3 linked regions of the Xenopus tropicalis genome follow. The protein of the gene in region 3 interacts with the protein of the main gene of each other region in a pairwise test. Links are inferred from orthologs where the notes say so. Each region holds a gene or a part of one and is shown on either strand. Other genes may lie near its edges.

The links. The genes of interacting proteins can lie anywhere in the genome.
Region 1: the proteins of txn2 (region 3) and scyl3 interact in binary tests that used the Homo sapiens proteins (3 or more experiments, as listed by UniProt). The two-hybrid records come from large-scale screens. The link is inferred for Xenopus tropicalis from reciprocal best matches to the Homo sapiens genes TXN2 and SCYL3.
Region 2: the proteins of txn2 (region 3) and agtrap interact in binary tests that used the Homo sapiens proteins (3 or more experiments, as listed by UniProt). The two-hybrid records come from large-scale screens. The link is inferred for Xenopus tropicalis from reciprocal best matches to the Homo sapiens genes TXN2 and AGTRAP.

Annotation. Positions count from the first base shown.
Region 1 is NC_030680.2:118,611,324-118,616,983, forward strand, and holds the start of scyl3 (protein-associating with the carboxyl-terminal domain of ezrin), read left to right. Parts: upstream 1-1,813; 5' UTR 1,814-2,201; coding exon 2,202-2,366; intron 2,367-5,660. UniProt on the Homo sapiens protein: May play a role in regulating cell adhesion/migration complexes in migrating cells.
Region 2 is NC_030683.2:65,681,021-65,686,601, forward strand, and holds the start of agtrap (type-1 angiotensin II receptor-associated protein-like), read left to right. Parts: upstream 1-1,734; 5' UTR 1,735-1,772; coding exon 1,773-1,799; intron 1,800-5,581. UniProt on the Homo sapiens protein: Appears to be a negative regulator of type-1 angiotensin II receptor-mediated signaling by regulating receptor internalization as well as mechanism of receptor desensitization such as phosphorylation.
Region 3 is NC_030680.2:115,531,819-115,537,519, reverse strand, and holds the start of txn2 (thioredoxin, mitochondrial), read left to right. Parts: upstream 1-2,218; 5' UTR 2,219-2,281; intron 2,282-5,701.

The DNA of each region.
Region 1 (5,660 bases), about 3.1 Mb from region 3:
TGGTTGAGTCATGCACGATAGATCTCTGCTATCGCGTGCGAATAACCACTCTGAAAAGGCTTTCCTTCCCTCTCTATCTCACTTTCCTAGAAAGTGCTCTAAAAGAGTAACTAACTGGTCCTCCTTCACTGGGTCCCTGTCCCTGACTTCACTAGAGTAGTTGGTGACTCTAGGGTAAATTATGGCTTTATTGAGGCCCTGTTGATCCCAGGCTCAGTGGACCTGAGACACAGCTAAACACTATATTGGAGTGCAAAGGGTGGAGTCAACCTGTAAACCAATATGGCACATATGCAAAACTATAAACTGGATACATGGGTATTTGCCCAGTAACATAAACTAGGGAGTTGTAGGGTTTAAAGCCATAGGGGCAGATTAACCCTATGGGTCCCTACACTTTTGTAACTTACGTATAAACTCCACTGCCCCCCCCAATTAAAATACTGACTTATTAGCACATTTATTTTTATGAACTACTACTGACTAGTTATTGGGCCCCTAAACTTAGGTAGTTTATGTATGTATGTATGTATATCTTTATTTATAAAGCGCTACTTATGTACGCAGCGCTGTACAGTAAAATACATTAATACAAACCGGGTTATTAAGATAATAATAGATAAATAAAAAGTAAAACAATAAATACAGATAGATACAACATAAATACAGTTGCAATAAGTCAAAGACACAAGAGGATGGAGGTCCCAGCCCCGTAGAGCTTACAATCTATATGGGAGGATAACTTACAGACACAAATAGGCAAATATAAGTGCTGTAGGTCACAGTGGGTGACACTACAATATAAGTGCTGGTTCCCAGATCAGGTGCTGGGTGAGTGCTCCAAAAGGCAGTCTTTAAGTTAAGTTTTAAAAAGACTGAGGGAGGATTCTCTCCGGAGGAAATCAGGGAGGGCATTCCAAATGTAAGGGGCAGCAAGGCAGAAAGGTTTGAGGTGGGAAACAGCAGTAGTAGTGGGGGGCGCAACCAAACAATTGCTCTGCGAGGAACGAAGGAGTCGGCCAGGAACATACGGAGACACAAGAGAAGAGATGTAGTGAGGAGCAGAGGAATGGAGGGCTTTGAAGGTTAAGAGGAGTTTGTAAGATATTCTTTGTTTAATAGGAAGCCACGATAAGGCCTTTAGCAGGGGAAGGGCCTGAACTCTCCTGGAGAGGAGGAGAATTCAGGCAGCAGTATTTAATACAGACTGTAGGGGGAAAGATGGGCGTTAGGGAGGCCGGTTAGTAGCAGGTTACAGTAGGCAAGTCAGGATAGGATGAGAGCATGCATGAGCAGCCTAGCTGTTACAGTAGAGAGAAAGGGACGGATTTTGGCAATATTGTGTAAGAAAAAGTGACAGGTTTTGACAGTTTACGTAACTTATACAAAACTGTACACAACTTCCATATTAATCAATGACAGCGCAGAGCAGGTGCAGGAAAGGGTTAAACTTATGGCAAACTCTGTTGACCCCCCAATGAATTGACTGAATTACTAGCACTTTACTCAGTGGAACGCTGTATATGAACTGCTTATTATACAGTAACATTAGCCGTTTATATCGCACACAAGGGACGTGGCCACATTTCGGTACTGCGCTTGCGTTCATGGGGGGGGCAAAGTTTCGGTAAGCCATTGCGGCCCTGAAATCCTCCAGAAATGCCATTTGCAGGGTATAAACCACCACTAACTTGTTTAAATGAAACCGCGCCTTCACCCGACTTTTCCTGTCCAATACTAAGCCTCACTCCTCCCACTCCCAGCCATGTGACCATAACATTAGGGAAAGTCCGTTCCGGCATTAGAATTTACCTTCCGCTTCTGGCAGTGCTAGAGATACAGGAGGGCGTGTCCTCAGTTTGAGCCAATCACATGCTCCCCCGGCTCTTGCTAGCGGCTGCTCGGAAGGGTTGGCGGCTTGTGGGACGGATAGCGAGCATTTCCGGGTTAGGAGGAAGAAGGAATGAGCTGTCTGTCACTGGAGCCTGGGTGGCTGTTGTGGCTGCTAAGGAACGCGTCCCCAGGGCTTTCTCCCTGAGTGAGACATACCGGCTCCCTGAGCTGCAATGCTTTAGGCTGCGGTACTGTACGGAAGGCACAGGCCTGGCCCCGGGGTGCAGTCATTTTCTAGGCATAAGGACGGTATATACGCACCGCTGGCAGGCTTCAGGGTAGGGATCCCTCCATACAGCTGCAGTATTATGGGCTCGGAGAACAGCTCCCTGCGAGGATTTACTCTCCAAGATCCTCCCTGGACTCAACCATCTGGGCTCACTATATACCCGGCTCTCCTAGCGGAGGGGCGTCCTGCTTCTGTGTTTGTCTATCAGCCGGAAAATCAGGATAAAGTGGATAAAGCTGCCAAGGTAAATGGCTGAGTTTGTGGTGATGGCTGTCTGTCTGTCTGTCTGTCTGTCTGCTGGGTTACATCAGGTGCACTCGGTAGGGATAATTCTGCCATTTCTGTAATTCTTACCTGCAGCTGTTGGGCCTGATAAGTATAGGGGGATATAAAGCCTCATACGATAGTCCCTCAGTCCATATGTACTCAAGGAAAGCTCTGTGGGAGTAACTTAGTGCCACTAACACCATACAGTGACAGTGTTTTATTTACATTTAGTGGTTCTGTCTGTTTGTCAAGAACCTGGAATTAAAGATTTATTGATAAAAGAAGCAGTATTAAAAATCTGATTGGGTGTTATTTCTTAACCAAAACTGGGCAGACCTCTTTTCGTTATTACTTTCAGTGGAGGCGCTTGACTTTAGAAGTGGGCCAAAGTCTCAATAGCTGAGAAATATTACGGTAATAATTGTGCCCATTACCCATGTCACTTCCTGTGATGGGGGAGCAGGAGGCGGCACAAGGCCACTAACGAAAAAGCAAGCTTAGCACTAGGAATCATATTGGATTAAGGCTGAAGACACATGGAGCTACTTAGTAGCAGCTATTGGTCACAACTACTAAATGCAAGAAAATACCCTGCTATAGACAATACTGAGAATTGCCTCTGCTAAAACACTCATAGAGACAATTATCAGGAAATGATCAGCATTGTCTGTAGCCGTTTCAAGTAGCTGCTACTAGTAGCTCTGTGTGTCTTCCAGACTAATGTCCCCGAAATGCCATCCCACTGGCTAGAATGTAAAATGCTGGTGGGATGGCATATGCAGCACCGCGATTTGCCGAAGTCGCTTGAGTTTTTGGGGCTAATCTCCCCGTGTGTCACAGCCCTAAGGGCAGTGGCAGACGGGGAGATTAGTTGCCCTGTGACAAATCTTCATTGCCGTGGACAACTAATCTCCCCACAGTGCCATCCCACCTCCAAGAATGTAAATCGCTGGTGGGATGGCATACGCGTCGCTACGATTTCCCAAAGTTGCTCTTGAGAGGAAACTTTGGGTGACTTCAGGAAATCGTAGTGACGCGTATGCCATCCCACCAGCGATTGCGGGGAGATTAATCGCCCGTGGCAACAAAGATTAGCGACTAATCTCCCCGTCTACCACAGCTCTAATAGTACACTGATAAACCCTCTGCATAAGGCCATGGGTTTTTAAACGGCCAGTTCGCTCCTTTGTTCAACATGAGCGCAATTAATAAGGTTTGTGCTGAACATACTTTTAGCCTATTGTTTTAATCACAAAAATCTATTGTTTTTGTTATTTTTTGAGTTAAACAGGGCAAACTGGGAAATTAAAGCTACTCAATGTTTGGTCCTTGTTAGGCTGATAATTAAATTTCTCCCTGAATAATGCTCATCTGCTTATCCCCCTGCTTATGTGCACTAGTAATCTAATTATCCACCTTACAAGGACCAAACATGGTGTAGCTTCACTCTCCCTCTTTGCCCAGTCATTAAAAGGGACATATTGCGTGAAAAACAATATTGTGGCAATGAATTGTATTCATCTGAATATAGAAAGAATGTGCTTTAAAAAGTAGCATTTTTGGCTGATTTATTGAAAATTTCTTCAAAAACCCCTCTAGTCCCGCCCATCTGTTCCACTTCCTACTTTTTCCTTTCCCAGGCTGTGCAGGGGGGACGGCGCACTTGGCACACTGCACTGAAGAGAACAGATCAGCCACTAGGGCCGGGCTGACCTGATAGGGAAATGAAGCCTGTCAGAACCACAGTAGGAGGGGGTTAGCCAAACACAGTCCTGCAGTCACACAAGACTGGACTGTTAGGATACTCCCACAACTCATTTGAAACACAGACTGGTACCTTAGCAGATCTATAGAGAACTCCAATAAATGGGCCATTTTTAAAGATAGTGTTTACTTTTAGCCCAGAGTGAAACCAGCACCATATATTATTCATAATTGCTTACTTTTTATCCTGTATGTCTCTTTTAAAACAATCTGCAAAAAGTATGTTTGTCATAAGCGCACGGGCAGTAGAGTGAAAAGCTGAACTTTAACAAAAAAGCAATTTTTTTCACTGTACTGTCATGCGTGGCCATGGGATTCCCAAAATAGACTAGAGAAGGAAGAGTATCACCGTCTCACATCTACCCTGGGCTGGTGTCGTTTTCTTCTAACAGGAGCACCAGCCTGGGGTATCAGGTAAGCAGTTACAATCACTGGGGGGTACCTAACATTTTGGCACCCCCCAGTGACTTTACCTTTCCTTCTCCTTTAGACCATGGGGCGGTTCGGAGCATAGTGGTTTCCTTCACAGTAGCCTAATGGTATTCCTCTTATCTGTAAGCCAAAACAGACACAACAAAAAGGGTTGAATCCTAAACAAACCTAAGTGTTTGGCCGAATGGAATCCAAACCATGTGAATGCAGCACTTTTGTTGGTTTTTGTAATTGATGCAATTTTTTAAAAATGCTTTTCTTAATATTGAACATGTAAATAAGGGCTCAGTTATTCTGCCAAATCTTATGTGGAGATTCGGTAATGGCCAAATCCAGCATTTATAGATCTGGTGCATCCTTAGTTTATACAGAGCTCATTCTCTCAGGTTAAACTAACTTAGCTGATTATAGGGAGAGGGAGCAGGATATAGTAAGTGTCAAAACAATTATCTAGTAGTGCTTTGTAAATAAAAAATACAAATGCTGTTATAGGCAGAATATGTTTTCAGCTTAACTGTTGTTTATTTGTCACTGTTGAAAATACTTCCTCTAATCAGTATATTGTAAACTGCTTATCTGCTATGCAAATATAGACCCTGCACTCAGCCCTACTGAAACTTGAATAACCCTGTCACCAGATAACAGCTTATTTATACAAATGATACAAGTGCTTCTGAAGCAAATACATTGTGTGTGGGGCAAAGCTGACCATACACAGGCTTATATTAGCTACCAGTCGCATTGGGGGCACAAAAGCCCTATTATGTGGTGCTCTACCAAACTATCTATAGGCATTTATTATTTTTCAATGTTTGGCCCAGGGGACAAATGATCAGATTAGGCTAATTTAGCCCACTGTGTATGGCCAATTCAGGTAAAATCTGCTTGTTTCGCAAAGAGCAGATCTGTTTGTGAATACCTATCTTAAATGGCAAGGAAAGTCCTATCTAGTCTATTAGGAAACCCCAGCTAAACCAATTACATTTTCCTCCCAGGCTGTTGCCCCTTAGGAAACAACATGCACCAACCTGGGGGGAAAAGTAGCACTGCCCTGCCATCATTACACTTATACTCA
Region 2 (5,581 bases), on a different chromosome or scaffold from region 3:
TGTATGCACATTTGGCGTGAGTGAGGCCTCTGTGGTCTCTGTGCTCGGTGGTGGCATGGGTATTGTGGGGAACCTGCCATTTGGGGAGCCTTGGGGTAGTGGGGCTCGTGCAAACTGTTCTAACCTGCGAGCAGCTGTTTCTCATTTGCTTGTCCCAGGCACTGTTACATGTCTCATTGTAATCTGTGCCATCTTGTGACATCGTGACTGAGCGAGTTTGCGTTCTTTTTGTAGCAGCTTTATTTCAGCCCATCCGAATAGATTACGGAAGTGCGGGAAATTCATTGAACTATCCAGCACAGCGGGATGCGCTGGCTGGAACCGGGCGCTCCAGCTACTTCTGCTGCTCCGGCTTCTTATGCCGCTCCTTGTACGGCGGCGACAGGCCCTTTTATAAGGTTGCGTCCCTTATAAGGTTGCGCAACCTTATAAAAGGGCCTGTCGCTGCCATATAAGGAGCAGAGCAGCAGAATAAGCTGGAGTGCCTATGGGGGCTACTGTGTATGGGAGCACTTACTATGGGGGCATTGTGTATGGGGGGTACAGTCTATGGGGGAATTGTGTATGGGGGGGTACTTTCTATGGGGGCAATTGGGGTACTGTCTATTGGGCCATTGGGGGCATTGTGTATGGGGGGTAAAACTGGTACATAGTTATAACTCACTTATAACTGACTGCCTCCTCTCTTTATTTGTATTTTATATGTAGGAGTTGCTATATTGTTTTCCTTAGGTAGTACAGTATGAGGGTATAGCACATTTGCGTCTGATCCCGCCATTTCAACTATATTAAAGGAGTATTTTTTAATGGGGCGTGGCCACAAAAGTGGGCGTGGTCAAAAATTGCCACGCTGCGCGCACCAAATCTTTTTGTCCCTCTTTTTATTTTTCAGATGTTGGGAGGTATGAATTCAGCCAGCAGGAAGTGGAACAAGCAGGCAGGACTAGTGGGGTTTTGGCGGAATTTCTCAATAAGTCAGTCCGAAACACTAACTTTTTTTAAGCACAATCCTTATATATTTAAAAGGAGTATAATTCACTGGTACATTCATAATTTTGATATATGTCTCTTGAAATAAACCCATCCTAGCAGCCCAGTTTTCTAGTGTGGTGGTGGAGTAAAAAGTTTCCAGGTTGCAATCCTAATGACTGAAACGATTGTCACACACCCAAACAATGTGAAGCACAGCCAGTTTGTACAACATGGCACCAATGCTATGAAGGGATTGCATTAAACCCTCTGAGCAGATCACTTGTATATTCAGGGACATATAATAAATACACGTTGCAGGACATTACTGTTCGCATTTAAACTAAACTGCAATCAGGTTAGCCTGTTACCTGGATTTTTTAGACACGTCCCTCAAGTGATCTGGTTACCCTACTGAGGAGTTTTACATTACACCCTATACCACCACTCTGCTTGAAGTCAGGTACATGTAGGAAACAGGAACTGTGATTCTTAGACCCTTAATAAAGCCAAGAACTTGGTACCATTTTTTCATATTAACTTCACGCATGGGGATGGAGTTTCAATTTCACGCGTGCTTATGTGTGGCCAAAAAATATATATCTCCGGCAATTTATTCAACTAGAACACAATTATGAAACCGGTGTAACCAACAATTGCTGCAATATCACATGACAGCTCACAATCCCATGTGACCCCGCTGACTTAGTTGAGCAAAGCCGCTAGGAAGAGGCATCACGTGATGCGCGTACAGTCGGGCAGGCAATTTCTGAAGTTTAGGGAAGGCAAAAGGAGTCACGGATATGGAGTTACCGGCTGTTAACTTAAAGGTATTGAAGCTTTAGAGAGTAATTGTCTACTTATTAGTGGGGGCGTGGGAACGTTATAAAAACTATTCTAAAGTGTTTCTGGAAGGGGAGATGTGAGGTAACGTGAGGTTCCGCTATGGGATGAGGTTCAGTTGAACTACAGCACCCTACTTTGTATAATATGACTGCTCCGTAACTGCCAACTAACATATCCGATCCTCATTTACAATATTGTATTGCTCTATTTTCCTTACGCTTCGCTAGGTGGGGGCTAAAGGCAGATACTGTAGTGCCAAGGGGCTGCTCTCAGCATATTGCTTTATATACATATTGCCATTATCTGTTGTGTATACCCAGTGAATAGGGAAGCTGCGTACTTTCCCGGAATTCGGCACTTTATTGCTATTGTGCAATTAGCAGAGCTAAAGCCATTGTATGTATTGAAATAAAACTTTGCAGCCCAGTCTTTTACTTTAGGTTTAGAAAAGCGACGGCCATTGACTTTAACCTTTTTTTGTTGATGTGTTAAATTTCCTTCATGACATAATGTACTACACTAATGATCCACATTGTACAGTTGCTGGTATAAAGAAAAACTTTTTATCATTCTAATACTGTTCTTGTTGCAGATGTCAGGTATGCTGTTTAAACATTCAGTTGGTAATATTCTGATAACATGAACATTTTCACAAAGGTCAGGACCCCAAAAATAAGTCCCATTAGGGACAGGCAGAAGAGGCACTTGCCTGGGGGGCAATAGGCAGGTACCTCTATCGCCTACTCTTAGTCCAGGATCTCTTACCCCAACAGTGGATTTCTCGGTGCTCCCCACCTGCATTGGGTTTTTGTGCTTTGCACGTGTGGTGGGGAGGGGGGGTCCCGGAGGAAGCTAAACATGCCATATTTTATATACTCGACTTACTGCACCAGTCTAAAGTTTCAGCATCTCAACAGCGCTTATGATCCAGTGATCAGTTCCCTCTGCCTCCCTCTCTATGCTCAGATCAGTCCCACCCACCCTGATAGTTTCCATCTGTCTCTCAGATCGTTCTTCACCTTCCTCCAATCAGCTTTGATTGTTCCTCTCACTCTGTGCCTTGCTGTTAACTGAAAAAGGTAAAACAACAACAAATATGATTGAAAAAAAAAACAATCTACTAAAAACATTTAATATTTTGTGGGGGTAATTTACAATTTGTAGAAGGTCCATGCAATAAAAAAGCATTTCCAGAATAACAGCTGTGACCTTTTTTCTCTGCAACTTCCTGCATCTGTTCATATACTGTTCCAGAACAGCTGCAGCTTTGTATTCCCTGCACCTGATCATATACTGTTGCAGAACAACAGCTGCAGCTATGTATTCCCTGCAACTCCCTGCACCTGGTCATATACTGTTCCAGAACAACAACTGCAGCTTTGTTTTACCTGCACCTGGTCATATACTGTTCCAGAACAACAACTGCAGCTTTGTTTTACCTGCAACTCCCTGCACCTGGTCATATACTGTTCCAGAACAACTGCAGATTTGTTTTACCTGCAACTCCCTGTACTCATGTATCAATGTGCAGAAAAACAAAGACTGCTTTTTTTTTCTATAACAGTACACACTAATGTGCACTGTTTGTATATCTTTTATAATTTAATAATAGATGCAGGGAGTTGCATAGTGTGTAACAATGTTTTATGGACTATAGATTGTTAGGTCCACTTGGGCACGTTCATTTGTGAATCGTGCACATTTGCTTTGAAAAATACCATTCCACTAACAAAGGAACATTTTACTATTATACTTTTTTACATTTTACAACTATGCTTATTGATCAATAACTAGCTTACTGATCTGGCAGCAGCACAAGCAAAACTATGCAGCCAGGGAGCAGAGAGACACAGAAGGAGAAAACTGGGATGGGTTTTCCCTGCTACTGTTGAGTAAAGCCTGTCTGTCAGTGCTGTGAACACTTCCTGTGGGAGACTGAAGCGACACTCCCACCTTCATTTCACTCTGGCTTCTGACTTGAGAGGTTGTCTCTGCAGCTCTCATATAATGACAGTTTTAGGAGGTAAAATGCTTTCAAAACACCTTTTTTTCTGCATCAGCTGGGCAAGTATCGTTTAAAAGAAGTCCTTATTCACATTAAAAACATGAAGTTGATGCAGGACTTGAATTTGATCCATCTTAAAAAGTGTCTGTGACACTCACATGCTCAGTGTGCTCTAAACAGCTGTTGAGAAGCTAAGCCTAGAGGTTGTTGCAAATTATCAAGCAAATAATAAAGTTGGCCTGGGGCTACAGGGCTGATTATTAAGTTTTGATACAAACTACACTGGTTCCTGAGCTGCTATGTAGTAATTATCTGTATTAATTACTAATCAGCTTTATATTGTGACATTTATACTCTATACATACAGTATATTGTGTGTCGGTCCCTAAGCTTAGTAATTTAAAACCGCACAAAGCATGTTTCTTACTACAGTAAAAAATGAAAATAAATTTAGTCCAGTATTCAAGTCTATCCCATTTCTTGAAGGAGAACTAAAACTTAACAAAGAAGTAGGGTAGAAATGCTGCACATTAAGTTTTGTATTATTATGTACCATGCTACGGCAACCACAGCCCTTTAGCAGTGAAGATCTGTTCCTCTGAAGATGCCCTCAGTAGCTCTCCATCTTCTTTTCTGCTAAATTACAACACATGCTGTGTGCTGCTGTCACTTCCCTGAGTGTAGGGTTTTACTCACAATACTGTATATATAGCATTCACAATACAAGGCTGATTAGTAATTAATTCACATTACATGGCAGCTCTGAGACCAGCACAATTAGCATCATAAATTATTGATCAGCCCTGTAGCATTATCTTATATGACAGGCAAAACTATTTTTCTGCATTATAATTTGCAATGCATGTGCAATGCTTCACAACAGCTGCTCAAAGCACACTGAGCATGTGCAGTGTCACTGAACATGTCCAACACAATTCAAGGTGGCTAGCTCTTGTGACAACTTTCGAGGCCTGGATCATTACTCCTATAGAGAAGCTGAACCTTTAGAATGGTGCATTAAGCTCAGGATTTAAAATATGATATTTCTAGCCATATTCATTTTTAGGGTTTAGTTAAGTAAGAAAAAGGTTAAGAAATCTTTTCTGTTGCATTGATTGGCTAGAATTCTTGGCTAGTTCTGTTAAATCAATGGCATATAGGGCTATAAAGGACATTTTGTCACCTGAGCAATTTCCAGCTTTGTGGGTGACAAAATGCTTGGAATTGCCTTCTATTCGTTATAATGGCAATCTCTGTGAGCCCTTGTGGCTCAGGTGATTGTTAACACTGAGAATCACAGAGAATCCTTTATGTGTTTTTTAGGGTATTTTCCTCATACAGCCAGCACATGCAATTTCTGTACTCTAACGGCTAAATTACACGGGACATTATGATCAGATTTTGTGGGTCAAATTTTATCTGATCCACTAAATCTTGTCACGTAACAGCACAAGATTTTGTAGGATCCTACAAAATCTGATCCCCAACATCTGTAATATAAGTCAGATCAGATAAAGTCAGGTAGTATGTGTTGTTGTTACTGCGTCTAGGAAAAAAAAGTCTTTTAGACACAGATTTTATCTTGTTGGATGCAGACGCAGCATGCCGTATTCCCTTCCAACAGACGTTTAGTGTTGAATGGTATATCTTTCATGTAGTTTGCACATCCGATCAACCCATGCAACTACATCCTACTTTTATGTCAATCCAACATGATCACCAAACCATATGCTTTACAATTTATTATTGATAAGACCCATA
Region 3 (5,701 bases):
GTGTAGGATTCTGTTTACAAGTGCTGATTCAGCAGGAGGCTGCAGGATTTAACACAAACACCAAGCACTCTCACTAAACAACAAGAGGGACTTAACAGTGGCACTTGGTTCATTCCCCAGATGTATAAAAACAAACTCTGAATACTTTTAAAGAATGTACAGTACGATATGTCTTGCATTCAGCATTAGTTATTGGGGAGTTTGGCATCTGCAGTTTGCTGCTTAAAAATGCTTTTTATAGGCAAATTAATGTTAACTAGGCCAGATATATTTTACATTACTCCCTAATGTATAGTAATCCCGTTTCAACTATAGAGGATGACATGTATCATCATGTTAAAAAAGCAAGTTTACCTATTATTGAATGCTATTGAGTTGAAGCTGCTAATTTTGCCCGGGCATGTTTAGGGTCATCTGCTGGAGAAACAGGCAGGAAATAAATGTTTTTAGACTTTGCTTTCATCCACACTACTGTATACAGTATATATACATACACAATAAACGCACCTAAGAACCCAATAACATACCTCCCAACATTTTGAATACGGAAAGAGGGACAAAAACAAATGGTGTGCGCAGCGTGGCAATTTTTTTGACCACACCCCCTAAATACCACTCCAATTTGACTAAATTTGGCAGGTTATTTAAAGTTTGAACACATTTCTGGGGGTTGTGGGGTCCTGTTTTATGTGTTATTACAGTTTTGCTAAAAAAAAAAAAAAAAAAAAGGTGAAGTTGCCCTTTAAGCTGCAAGTCTCAGTTCCCCTAAGAGACCATTTTAGCTTATTAGTTACAATTGTATCTCAGCGCAGGTGTGGCTTTTTACCTTTCTGGGCTCTCTGCCAAAAGCCCACTTGTTTAATTAAATGTGAGAAACAATGTATCTAAGTGCAGGTGAAGCTTGTTTAGCTTTCTGGGCTCTCTGCCAAAAGCTACTTTTAATTAAATTTTTATCTTTTTTAGCTTCAGTGCAGGAGATCAAGGGAAATGAGGGACTTTTCAGTAAGAATCCAGGACTGTGGGTTGAGCTGTCAAAAGAGGGACTGTCCTGCGAAAATCGGGACAGTTGGGAGGTATGCAATAACCTTTGGGACAATAGAATTTACAGCCAGGGCCGTATCCACTCTAAAGCTGGCCATACACGCACCGATAATATCTTACGAAACCTCGTGTATGGCAAGTCGGTGAGTCAACCGATATCGCAGGATGCTGCTGATATTGGTCGACTCACCAATCGGGTGGGTTAAAAGATTTTGATCGGGCACCACAGAAGGCGCCTGAGCAAAATCTGTCTTCAGGGCTGAATTGGCAGAAGGAGGTGGAAGGAGGCAGCAGCTTCCAGGGGGTGGCAGTACACATGGTATCTTTTTCTTCTTCTTTTTTTTGTGAGTGTGGACCCCGCTGGCTTTAGACTACCCCGCTGGCACCCCTACCTGCAAATATATGGGTTGAAATCAGTGGCACAAGGGCACTTAAACCCTTTAGCACCCCGTTGCTTATTCAAATAGATAGAACTGCAAGGATATCCACATTGATGCCACTTTAAATCATTAGTTACTTATTCATCAGACCAAATAAGAAGCTATTACCCCTTTGGTGGCAATGTTCCTGCCCAGAACCGTTTCGAACCAGGCTGGCACAAATGTAGTTTATGTAGGGCATCTCTGACAATGAATGTGAACTTTTAAATCCGTGGCCCAAGGTCATTTATTTCTTTAAAACCCAGTTACTTACTCACTGACTGAACAAGAAACCAACTTCAACGCTGTAATAAATAGAGCATTAGCTAATCACATATTCACACCAGCCAAAGCTCTGTACTTCAACTGTGAAGAGCGTTTTTTATTGGTCAGCCAGAGCAGCTGAGTGATTCGGGAAGAAAGAATGATTTGCCCTTCTGAAGCTGATAAGGAAGTAATGTTTCTGTGCTGCACAAGGGCAGGCTGGTGGGAGGAGTATTACAGGAGAGAAGGAAGTGGCGAGTACTGTTTGTGGGATCACAAAGGAGAAAGTTTCTGAAGTGCATGTTAGCAACTACATGGCTGTTTATTAGCATTTGCACTAAGGCTGTACTGTTTTTATGCAGACAAATTAAAACCATAACATGAGCCAAAGACAGCAGCAGCTACGTCACAACCATGTGACTGTTATAGGCCTTTCTGCTACGGCTCCAGCCCCACCCCCAGCCCCACCCCCACTCACGCCCACTCCAGGAATTCTTCCGGTGCATGTGGAACCCTCCAGCGGTCCCTGACCAGTTCCTCCGCCTGCCTGAAGAAAGGTACTGTACTCATACAATTTCTACACAACTTTTCTACAATTTCTATAATAGGTTTGGGGGTTTTGTTGCACACTCGCTGCACACTGGCATGCACACACAACTTGGGCAAGTGCACACACAGTTTGAACATTTTGTGAGTGTTGTTTTGCCCTAAAATTGTTTTATTACCCAGTGTGACTAAATCATCACAATGATCACTTACAAATGACAGTGCAGAGCACAAGGTCAGGAGCTGTTTCTGTGTATAAATAAATGCATACTGTATTATTTTGCATTGTGCAGAAGGTGTAGTTTTCCTGTATGTTTGGTTTGTGTTTGTTAACTTACTGGTTACTTGGCTTTTACAATAACATGAAATGTAGAGTATGTGTTGTGTTTGCACTGGCCAAGGTTTCAACCATGAAAAATTGTATGCACTGTCAGTTTTAGGGTCTTTACGTGCCTCATGGTTCAGTAATCCTATGCATATTGGCTATTCAGTTATTTAGAAGACCCTTGGAAATGTATTTTGATTTATCTTTGTACCCAAGAACCAGTAGGAGAAGGTACTGTAAATTGAAAAAAGTTGAAAAAAAAAAACTAATAAACTAATAGCATTAGCAGTTTGGGAGTAGAAAGCTATATTTATCTGTTTTAAGTTCTCCATAAAGTGAAGTTTTCATAAATAAATGATCTTCTGGAGTTAATCTAGTGATTAGGATTAGGGGTGCGTAAGAGATTGCCACTTGCGTAAGAAGCACTTTTCCCCAGGGGAAAGCTATATTCTGCTCCTTGTGCCAGATCAAAATCTGGCGCAAGAAGCAGAGCACAAAGGTACTTATCACCTGGCATAGAGCAGTCTGAATGATGCACAGGTTAGGGGGTAGGATGCCTAATCAGCCTGCATCTAATAATAAATACAATTACATTGAATACACAAATCAATGTGGTTCTTAGTTATAACTATTATACAACCCGGATTCCAAAAAAGTTGGGACACTAAACAAATTGTGAATAAAAACTGAACGCAATGATGTGGAGGTGCCAACTGCTAATATTTTATTCAGAATAGAACATAAATCACGGTACAAAAGTTTCAACTGAGAAAATGTACCATTTTGAGGGAAAAATATGTTGATTCAGAATTTCATGGTGTCAACAAATCCCAAAAAAGTTGGGACAAGTAGCAATAAGAGGCTGGAAAAAGTAAATTTGAGCATAACGAAGAGCTGGAAGACCAAATAACACTAATTAGGTCAATTGGCAACATGATTGGGTATAAAAAGAGCTTCTCAGAGTGGCAGTGTCTCTCAGAAGCCAAGATGGGTAGAGGATCACCAATTCCCACAATGTTGTGCAGAAAGATAGTGGAGCAATATCAGAAAGGTGTTACCCAGCGAAAAATTGCAAAGATTTTGCATCTATCATCATCAACTGTGCATAACATCATCCGAAGATTCAGAGAATCTGGAACAATCTCTGTGCGTAAGGGTCAAGGCCGTAAAACCATACTGGATGCCCGTGATCTCCGGGCCCTTAAACGACACTGCACCACAAACAGGAATGCTACTTTAAAGGAAATCACAGAATGGGCTCAGGAATACTTCCAGAAACCATTGTCAGTGAACACAATCCACCGTGCCATCCGCCGTTGCCAGCTGAAACTCTACAGTGCAAAGAAGAAGCCATTTCTAAGCAAGATCCACAAGCTCAGGCGTTTTCACTGGGCCAGGGATCATTTAAAATGGAGTGTGGCAAAATGGAAGACTGTTCTGTGGTCAGACGAGTCACGATTCGAAGTTCTTTTTGGAAATCTGGGACGCCATGTCATCCGGACCAAAGAGGACAAGGACAACCCAAGTTGTTATCAACGCTCAGTTCAGAAGCCTGCATCTGTGATGGTATGGGGTTGCATGAGTGCGTGTGGCATGGGCAGCTTGCATGTCTGGAAAGGCAGCATCAATGCAGAAAAATATATTCAGGTTCTAGAACAACATATGCTCCCATCCAGACGTCATCTCTTTCAGGGATGACCCTGCATTTTTCAACAAGATAATGCCAGACCACATTCTGCATCAAACACAACATCATGGCTGCGTAGGAGAAGGATCTGGGTACTGAAATGGCCAGTCTGCAGTCCAGATCTTTCACCTATAGAGAACATTTGGCGCGTCATAAAGAGGAAGGTGCGACAAAGAAGGCACAAGACGATTGAACAGTTAGAGGCCTGTATTAGACAAGAATGGGAGAGCATTCCTATTCCTAAACTTGAGAAACTGGTCTCCTCGGTCCCCAGACGTCTGTTGAGTGTTGTAAGAAGAAGGGGAGATGCCACACAGTGGTGAAAATGGCCTTGTCCCAACTTTTTTGAGATTTGTTGACACCATGAAATTCTGAATCAACATATTTTTCCCTTAAAATGGTACATTTTCTCAGTTTAAACTTTTGTTCCGTGATTTATGTTCTATTCTGAATAAAATATTAGAAGTTGGCACCTCCACATCATTGCATTCAGTTTTTATTCACAATTTGTTTAGTGTCCCAACTTTTTTGGAATCCGTGTTGTATGTCTGGTGCTGTTGATATATGAACAAGTCCAATCAGATGAAGCACCAAAATATTTGGTAGCGGTGTACATAATGATATGTAACAATCATGTACAGTTAGTAATGAGAGTCCTGTTTGCACATGACATAGATGCAGGCCAATGACCTTTTAATTTAGTGAGGAATGTCCAAAATAGTTCCCATATAGGGGCACCCTATTGTGATCTTTTCTTATCCCATACTATGAAGTAAATCTGATTCAGAGCTTAAAGCCAAAGGGAAGACATTCTTTGTTTTCGTACACCTCAGCAAGTGCTACAGCCATATTTTGTGAAAGGGGAACTTATAAGATTGCATTCCCTGAGCTTTACTTGTAAAGGTGGCCTTCAAACCAATTGGGCAGCTTATCTGCCCCTGTATGGGGACCGCCGACGGGCCTACCCAACCAACATCTGGCTTAAACCTGGCTAGATCTCAGTCGGACAGGATTAATTTTTCCATTGCATCAGGGACAACGTCAGCTCATTGATGCAGTCCGTGAGCCGATGGCACCTATACCCGCTGTTTTAATTCAATTGAGAGCTAAACTATTGAATTAGCCTGATATTGGCCACCTTAGATGGGCAGATTGGGAGAAGATCTGCTGGTTTGGTAAAGTCGCCAAATAAGCAGGTCGCAAAATGTATGGCCACCTTTAGTCACTGAGGGCATGCCGAGATACTGATTCCTTTGCTGGCTATCAAACATATGAGCAGGGACTGCTGCAGCCTGGTCCATTCTTCCTATGACATTAGAAATAACTTAATCACCTCCTTCCTACCAGTACTCAGCCTGCCTACTACCAGCAGTGTATGCTGTCTTTAATATTCACATAAACTAAGGAGTGGGCATTAAT